Danio rerio: one gene and its partner. Each later gene encodes a partner of the first gene's protein in a complex. Links are inferred from orthologs where the notes say so. Each region holds a gene or a part of one and is shown on either strand. Other genes may lie near its edges.

Region 1 (4,106 bases):
GTAGTGAAGCACATCTGCATAAAATGTAATTTCTGTGTTCAGCCAATGCTGAAACAATAATTGAGGTAAAGTTGATTTTATATTGGCACATTCTGACTTTCTCCCTTAATAACATCTTTTTAGAAAAGTATTATTTGCAAATTCTAAATAGGGAAATCATATTAGCAGCCAATGACTATCAAAGTACAGCATTGCTAACAGTCAATTAAATAGTGCTAATGTTGTTTTGAAGTCATACTTGAACACAATTTTAAACCTAATATTTAAATTAGCCTAGTAAACAATACAGGCTAATATACTATATATATATATATATATATATATATATATATATATATATATATATATATATATATATATATATATATATATATATATATATATATATATATAACAAACATGCCAATATAAGGAACTTTACCTCAATTTAATAATATATTGTGCAGCCCTACAAAGCACACAACAATAAAGCAATAAAGATATATACAAATCATAATAACAAACCTGTTGATTGTGTCGAGATATGGACAATGGCGGCTTCTGCGATCTTCAACATAACCACGACCCACTTTCACACGCACTTCTAAAATTAGCCAAAGACAAAATATAAGAATTCATAACAAATCACAGCTCTCAGTTGTCATGTGGTTCTCTGTTGGGTAAGATTTCTCAACCAACTTCCAACGATATCCATCGTCGTCGTAGGCGGTTGTTGTTAAATATCAATTTATTCATAAAAAATTAATTAATTGTAGCCTACCGTTTTAACTACCTGACCCACATAGTCTTTATAACAAAACCATAAATAAATAAAAGTTACACAAAAATTACCACCTGTCAATCACTTTTTTCCCGTGGGACTAGGCAGACATGAATAGGTAGAGTGATCTGTGCCGTTCTAATGGCTTTTTCCCCACCGCTGGTGGAGGAGACGAGAGTTTGTTTGGAGTTCAGTGTAATTTGTATTGTGATTGATGATAACTTCCTTATTTTATAATTTTTATGAAGAAATAATAACAAGTAAAGATGCTAGGGTTTGATCGTTTGGTCGCATATGCGTCCGAAATTTTATCTAAGCCACCTTAAAAATATTAGGAAGCATTTGTGCGAGTGCATAAATTTTCACTGTTTTCACAACAAAATCCTCACCGCATGCGCATATTTAGGAGACATTTATGCAGAATGCATCTTTGCACCTAAAATTGTGCATTTTTGTCAGTCTTGGGGCAGGACTTGGTTTACTTGATATCTCTCACGCTATTGGTTACACCCCCCCCCCCCCCCCCCCACCCCTCCCCCCCCGGATTAATAAAGTGACTATGTTGAAAAGAAAATGAATAATAATATATATATAGCAATAGTTATTAAGATTAAAGTATACCTTTTATTTAATTTTAAATAAATGAGGATATTATCCACGGCAACTTAGTAACACAGTTTGATATATTTACCTTCAGCTCACGGCCCTCAATCAAGTTTGGTTTTTGGCACTTCATAATAAAAAGGCACCCATGGTTTAGAGCTTGGCAATTACCACTTTCCAGAAGACAAAAAAATGTATCTATTTATCTATTATATCTACAGTATATTTATCTATTATATCTACAGTATATTTATCTATTATATATATAATGAAATAAAACTAATGTAGCTCTAGAAAACTTTAGGCAGAACTGGGACTTTAGTGCATCAGAGAAATGCCCTCATAGCTTTTTATAAAGAGAATTTTTTTTTTATAATTGAGCTGGTATTTACTCAAAAACATTGTTGGGTTACAGCTGCACCACTTTCGAAAATAGTAACAGAGGAATAATACAAAAGTTGCTGTTAATATTACTATTATTATTACTTATTCACACATTCATTCATTTTAACGGTCCTCATATCGTTTACTATGCTAGTTTAAATATTCAGTCTGAAATAATAATAATAATAATAATAATAATAAACAACATTTAAACCAGTTTTGTCTGACACATATATTGTATTTTAAAAGAAATAATCCTTAACGTGTCTATATATGAAAAATATTCATAGCAGTCATATTTAATACAAGTGCAGTGTCTGCTATCGTTTCAAATGACTTTTGTGTAAATTAAACATTCGGTTGTAGCATACCACTATAATTAAAAGAAATATAATTTCAGAAAAGTGGTTATTGTAAATTCTAAATAGGGAAATCATATAGCAACCAATGAATATCAAACTACACCATTGTTTACGGTTAATGAAACAGTGCAAATGTTGTTTTGAAGTCATACTTGCATGTTATTTCAGACCTAATATTCAAATTATCGTGGTAAACAATATAGGTAGCGTTAAAATGAACGAATGTGCAAAGATAAAGCCAACTTTACCTCAATAACAAACCTGTGTTTCATTTTGCATCTCCAGTAAACGTATCTTAAATGAAATAACTTAGGTTTAGATCTTTGACCTGGAAACCAAAATATTATTTATGCAAGACATTTATTTAAGATTTAATGCCACGACTTTCATTGTGTGGACCTTCTTACGTCTATTTGAGGGCTTTATTTTAAGAAAGAGAGCTTTGAAAAGCCAAAATCAACACTCAATTCAAAACAGACACGATAATCTGTGTATATCTGTGTCGTGTGCTACAAAAGCTAACGTTACCAAGTACTGCTAAGCTCATAAACACTCCAGGCATACCTTCCTCTTCATCTTCATCAAAATCCCTCTCCCGTTTCACGCCTCTGATCATATTTTAAGGTAAATAGCAACTATAAATCAAGTAAATTCAGCGCTGAATGAACGCACTGTGAACGCGTTACAAAACTCCCGCTTGCACTTCCGCTGTAGAAAAGGATGGCCGACAAGCACTAAACCCCTGGACCAAAACACAGCAGAATGCGTAAACAAACACCCAATGGTGTTATCTTGATTTTTCATTGCTTATCATATAACTATATACATAAAACTGGATATTTGTTTCAAAGAAGAGCCAAAAAAGTCGAGCTAAATTGTTTTGTGGATGGAAAACAAACCAACTCGAGTGTCGCTTTTTGTCGGACAACGCTTTTGAATCACCGACCCCCAGTGAGCAGCGGCGAGATGTTATAAAGAGAATGTTTGTAGATGTGCTAAAGATGAATTCATTTCAGGAATAATTACATTAAAAGAGCAGAAAGTATGGAGATCATCCGCGATGGGGAGGGGGAGAATGCTAAATATAAGCCCGGTGGTCGTTTGGACATGAGCCACGGTTTTCTGAGGCACATCAGGAGGAATCAGATCGCCAGGTTTCTGTCCACAACAACACTCACTAGTAGAGGAAAACACTTATAATTATAATAAATGAGCATTTTAGTGCTTTACAATGCGCCTTGAAATAGTCTTTTAACATGTCAACAAATGGTTCTAGTTCTAAATATACTTGACAATCATTTTTGGGCTGTTAAAACTGTTGTGAATGTCATTTTAGTGCGTGTTTTAGGTAAATCATGGTTAAAAATGCATGAAAGTCATTATTTGTTGTTCAGATAAATAAATAAAACTCAGCAGGACACATTCTAATGGATTTAATCGCAATTTGAAACACATTTTACTGAAATAAAAACTAAATGTCAATAATGAACAACATTTATAGTTGTTATTGAGGTAAAGTTGGTTTAATAAACGCACATTTGTTCATTTTAATAGCCCTTATATTGTTTACTTGGTAAATTTGAATATTGGTTCTTAAATAGCATCTAAATATGACTTCAAAACAACATTAGCACTATTTAATTGCTCGTAAACAATGTTGTACTTTCATATTCATTGGCTGCTAATATGATTTATCTATTTAGTATTTGCTGATAATACTTTTATAAAATTATATTAATAAGGAGAATGTGTCTTTTAATATGTGACCAAATGGTTCTTGGTCTAAATGTACCTGACAATCATTTTTGGGCATGTTAATGTCATTTTAGCTGGTGTCTTTTATAAAGCATGTAATCAAGTCATTATATGTTGTTCAGAATAAGAAATAAAACTCAATAGGACACATTCTAGTGAGTTTAATCGCAATTTGAAACACATTTTACTGAAATTAAAAACTAAATGTCAATAATGAACAACATTTCTAGCTGTTATTAAAG
Region 2 (4,348 bases), on another chromosome or scaffold:
TCAGTTTATACTGGTCATCAGGATCTGTGTGGGAAATAAATGTGGTCAGAAATCATATAAAACCATTGATATAATGATAATAGTCAAACACAGATGTCTTTACTCTTAGGGCGGGGTTTTTTCGTATTTTCGGATGTGTTAACACTTGTAGTTTAGTCAGTTTGTTTGGACCAAACAAAAAAATTATACATAGTCCTAGTTTGTCAAGCTTTCATACTCTGATTTTTGACAGAAAAGCAGCTGCATTTATGACATTCAATTCAGCTTATTCAGCTTTATTTGTATAGCGCTTTTACAATGTAGATTGTGTCAAAGCAGCTTCACATTAATGGTCATAGTAACCGGAACAGTGTAGTTCAGATTTTAGTGTTTAAGTTCAGTTCAGTTCAGTTTAGCTCAGTTCAGTGTGATTTAAAATCATTACTGAGAGTTCAAACACTGAAGAGCAAATTCATCAATGCGTAGCTCTACCAATCCTGAACCATGCGAGCCAGTGGCGACAGCGGAGAGGGGAAAAAAACTTCACCTGATAGGAGTGAAGAAAAAAAACCTTGAGAGAACCAGACTCAGTTGGGCACGACCATTTTAATTTCTCCGCTGACCAAAAGTCATGTGCAGAGCTTCAGTCACCGCGGTGGATTCTGTGACTTTAAATTTTCAAAACAATTCTGTATGTTTAGATACACTTGTTTGCTGTATGTGCATGCACACATTTTTTAATCAGTTAAATACGGTGCCCTAGAGAGGACAAATGCAGTGTAAACATGCAAATAGAAAAACACTTACAAACTGAGAATTAATCGTCATTAGTTTAGTAACGTGAATGCAACTTCCAAAATATGCACATAGAAATGTTTTGGGGGACCTTTGGGGCAGCTTTCTTTTTAGAGACAGTGGTGTTGTCAGCATTTAAAGCTAAAATTATCCAAACACCAGGGAATCATACAACTAGGACGTTAAAGTAAAACACTCAGCTCTTTGACAACACCACCACCTCTAAACAGGAAGCAGAGGGTCGGGTTCATTACATTTTCAGGTCCCCCGACACATTTCGGTGCATATTATCACATTCAGGAATATGTGTCTCAGCTTTCTCAATCTGTGTTTTTCTATTTACCTGTTGTTGTTTTTTTTTTAGTTATAGTTTATCCGAAAACTAACCGTTTCACTACTAGATTTCAGCATTTTTCAAAATATCTTCTTTTGTGTTTAACAGAAGAAAGAAACTCAAAAAGGTTTGAAACATATAAAGGGTGAGTATTCAATGACTAGGCGTGGGACAATAACTGTTTTAAGGTTTATCGCGGTTTGAAAAGTCAAGGTTTTAAAAACGTTAAAATTGTCTGTTATACCGTTCTCAAGGTATTTGTAAGTTTTTTTTTTACGACTATTTTATTGAGTTTTTTTGGGCAACAATAGAAAAGGACCATCCACATCACAAGTTACCATGATTCAGGAAACATCTGAAAAACAAATCTCTTATAAACCAACATCCAGCATGCTGTAGAGCTGAACAGTGTAGATGATTTTTTTTATATCCAAAGAAAAGAAAGATATCCAAAGATGCCTTTTCAAGTTGAAAAGAAATCTGTGCTTTTGAAACTAATTAAGACAGCAGAAGTCAATGACATTCAACAATTAATAAACAATAAATTATTTAGCCTGACATTATAGTTTCAAAATATTTTAAATGTTAAAAAATATAAACCATGTTCAATGGGGGAAAAGTTTTTTTTTTACTCAGACATTTAAAAATAAAATATTTTGGAGCAGTATGTACAATAACATGATATTGTGTAACTGTGATATTTCAACCTAAGGTTATCAACCGTCAGAATCTTATACCAGCCCATGCCTAACAATGACAGTATTCATTTTTTTAGGGTGAACTATTTAACTTCAAGTGCATTTAAACTCTCTCAGAAAACCATATTAAATGTGTCAAACCAACACCAGAATTTCCTCTGGCTCACACACACCCAAATGAAGATCTGCTGAGACTGTTTCTGATGCCTGAACTGAACGGTAAGGAGCAACATTGTTATGCTGACAAAAATAGCTATGCTGGAGCATTCTGCCTTTTTATGTTTAATATCATGGCATCATGTCCTCTTTGGGTTGATTTAGATGCATTTATATATCAGTCAACCCACAAGAGTTTGTATGTTGCTTTATATAATTTATAATTTAATAAATTGATTAATTTTATAATTTAAATTGCAGCATTTACACTAAAATTTGTTCAAAACAAACCACACTAACATTAATACTGTGAGAAATTTAATGCAGAACATAATTTGGTACATATTCGGTTTACATTAGCACATTTTACCTCGCATGTATTCAATGGTGCCGTCCAACACAAGATTCAACAACGGGTCGAAGCCTTTTAAGACGCCACTTGCTGAAAATAGGAAACACTAGTGTCAAATTTACCACAATTCATTTAAATATCATAATGTGAAACATTTAAATTCATAATTAATTTCATAAAGCAACTCCCTCACCTTCGCGACCTCCTTGAAACTTTACACGTATATGTTTGTCGATGTATTTCGACAAATCAAAAATACTCTCCTTCTTTTTCTTGTCTTTGTCCTGAGGATCCAAAAACATATTATATAACAATCTCCAGGCCTCTATAATAAATATCAGACTCGTAGCTTAGCACAAAAATACACCACACATCACATTTACAATTACCAGCACACCCTAATGTGTAACAACATAAATATCAAGAGTGTAGGATATATTCAGGTGCTTATATGTTTGTTTATAACGCCGTTTGTCCTTAAAAGTGTTTATAATGTGAACGGTGTGGAAACGTTTGCGCTACTCACCGCCATGTTCAAAACTCCTCTACGCCCCGCCCACTCCGGGTTCACGTTTGACGTCTACCTCTCGGCCAATCACAACGCGCGCAGGTGAACTCTGATATCAAATGTTTTCAATTTTATCAGCTTTATTCACGCACAACTACACAGTATATACAGCTTTAAATGTTTATATCTATATTATACGATTTATAAAAACAAAAACATGTTGAAATACGATGATACGCGTGATTAGGTTGAAGTGTTTCTCACTTCCGGTTGGAAACGGACAAACGCGGGAGTGAAGCGCGAAAAACAAATGAGTCTTTCAACAACCTAAATAACATCTTTAAAACAGGATTACACGATTTTTAATTATTATCGTTGCTTTGTGAATGAATTAGGAATGACGGAATTACTTTTTAACAAGCGGTTGCAGGTGCTGGTGAAGAGTAAAGATACCGATGAGAGGTTTGTGTTGATTGTCTTGTTTTTGAACACAATGCCTAACTTAAATTGATTTATGGTATGAATTTTGGCTTTATTTTGTCTGTAATTATTAACATTTCGAAGTCTGTAAGGGTCTATATGTGTTTATATATGTTGTTTTTGTTACTACAGGCGTTCGGTTATTCGCGTTAGCATTGAACTGCAGTTACCATCCAGCCCTGTTCACAGAAAGGTTTGTTATTAACATGTGTACAACCATATTTATGCCTTTAAGCATGTTTTATGTGGTCTTATAACTTTTTTTAAATTTTTGATCAACAGGATTTAGTTGTACGGCTGACTGATGATACTGATCTTTACTTTTTATACAACCTTATCATATCAGAGGAGGATTTTCAAAGGTATTGTGGTATTAAAAGTGTCATTTCATCAATGAGCCATATTTATTTTCAACACTTTGCTATTAGGCTTCTATGTGATTATATTCTGTGTAATCGTTTTTATTTGCTCTTCTTCACAGCTTAAAAGTACAACAAGGGCTTTTAATAGACTTCACATCATTCCCACAAAAATTTATAGACTTACTTGAACAGTGCATTTGCGAACAGGACAAAGAAAACCCACGGTAAGAGGTTATAATTCATAATAATGTTCAGATGTTGCAGTTGTTAAAGTGATAGACAGGCTAAAGTCAATAATTACTGATGATTTAGTCAACCTCAGGACAAAAATTTCTTATTGGTTCTTCACTGAGTCAAATATTAATACTGTTTGGTGTTTATTTCAAAAATATAAACTTTTTGAAATGAAACTTATATAAAATTTTATAAATATCTATCTAACTATCTATCTATCTATGGGAAAAAATAAAGAGACCCCTTGAAAACTCTATATTTGTATTTGTCTGTACATGTTTGAAAACATTTCTTTTTTTCTTCTAAATTTCAAATCAAATAATGTCATTTAAGCATTTCTTAATATTAAAAATAATAATAGCAATAAACGGTTTAAGAATTTTACTCTTGTATGGTTAAAATGGACACTAACATGTTTTTTGTAATGTTAATTTTTTGTTATTTTGCACA

What was found. The genes of interacting proteins can lie anywhere in the genome.
Region 2: usp39 (region 1) and lsm7 share a complex: the UniProt entries of both Homo sapiens proteins name them as parts of the U4/U6-U5 tri-snRNP complex. The link is inferred for Danio rerio from reciprocal best matches to the Homo sapiens genes USP39 and LSM7.

Annotation. Positions count from the first base shown.
Region 1 is NC_133180.1:74,850,164-74,854,269, reverse strand, and holds the start of usp39 (ubiquitin carboxyl-terminal hydrolase 39), read right to left. Parts: upstream 2,801-4,106; 5' UTR 2,726-2,800; coding exon 2,674-2,725; intron 584-2,673; coding exon 505-583; intron 1-504. Other genes in the region: si:ch211-283h6.4 (UPF0561 protein C2orf68 homolog), read left to right, coding at 3,154-3,263.
Region 2 is NC_133197.1:10,400,919-10,405,266, reverse strand, and holds the start of lsm7 (U6 snRNA-associated Sm-like protein LSm7), read right to left. Parts: upstream 2,862-4,348; 5' UTR 2,847-2,861; coding exon 2,841-2,846; intron 2,599-2,840; coding exon 2,508-2,598; intron 2,405-2,507; coding exon 2,333-2,404; intron 25-2,332; coding exon 1-24. Other genes in the region: sass6 (spindle assembly abnormal protein 6 homolog), read left to right, coding at 3,220-3,284, 3,435-3,495, 3,585-3,664, 3,784-3,888. UniProt on the Homo sapiens protein: Plays a role in pre-mRNA splicing as component of the U4/U6-U5 tri-snRNP complex that is involved in spliceosome assembly, and as component of the precatalytic spliceosome (spliceosome B complex).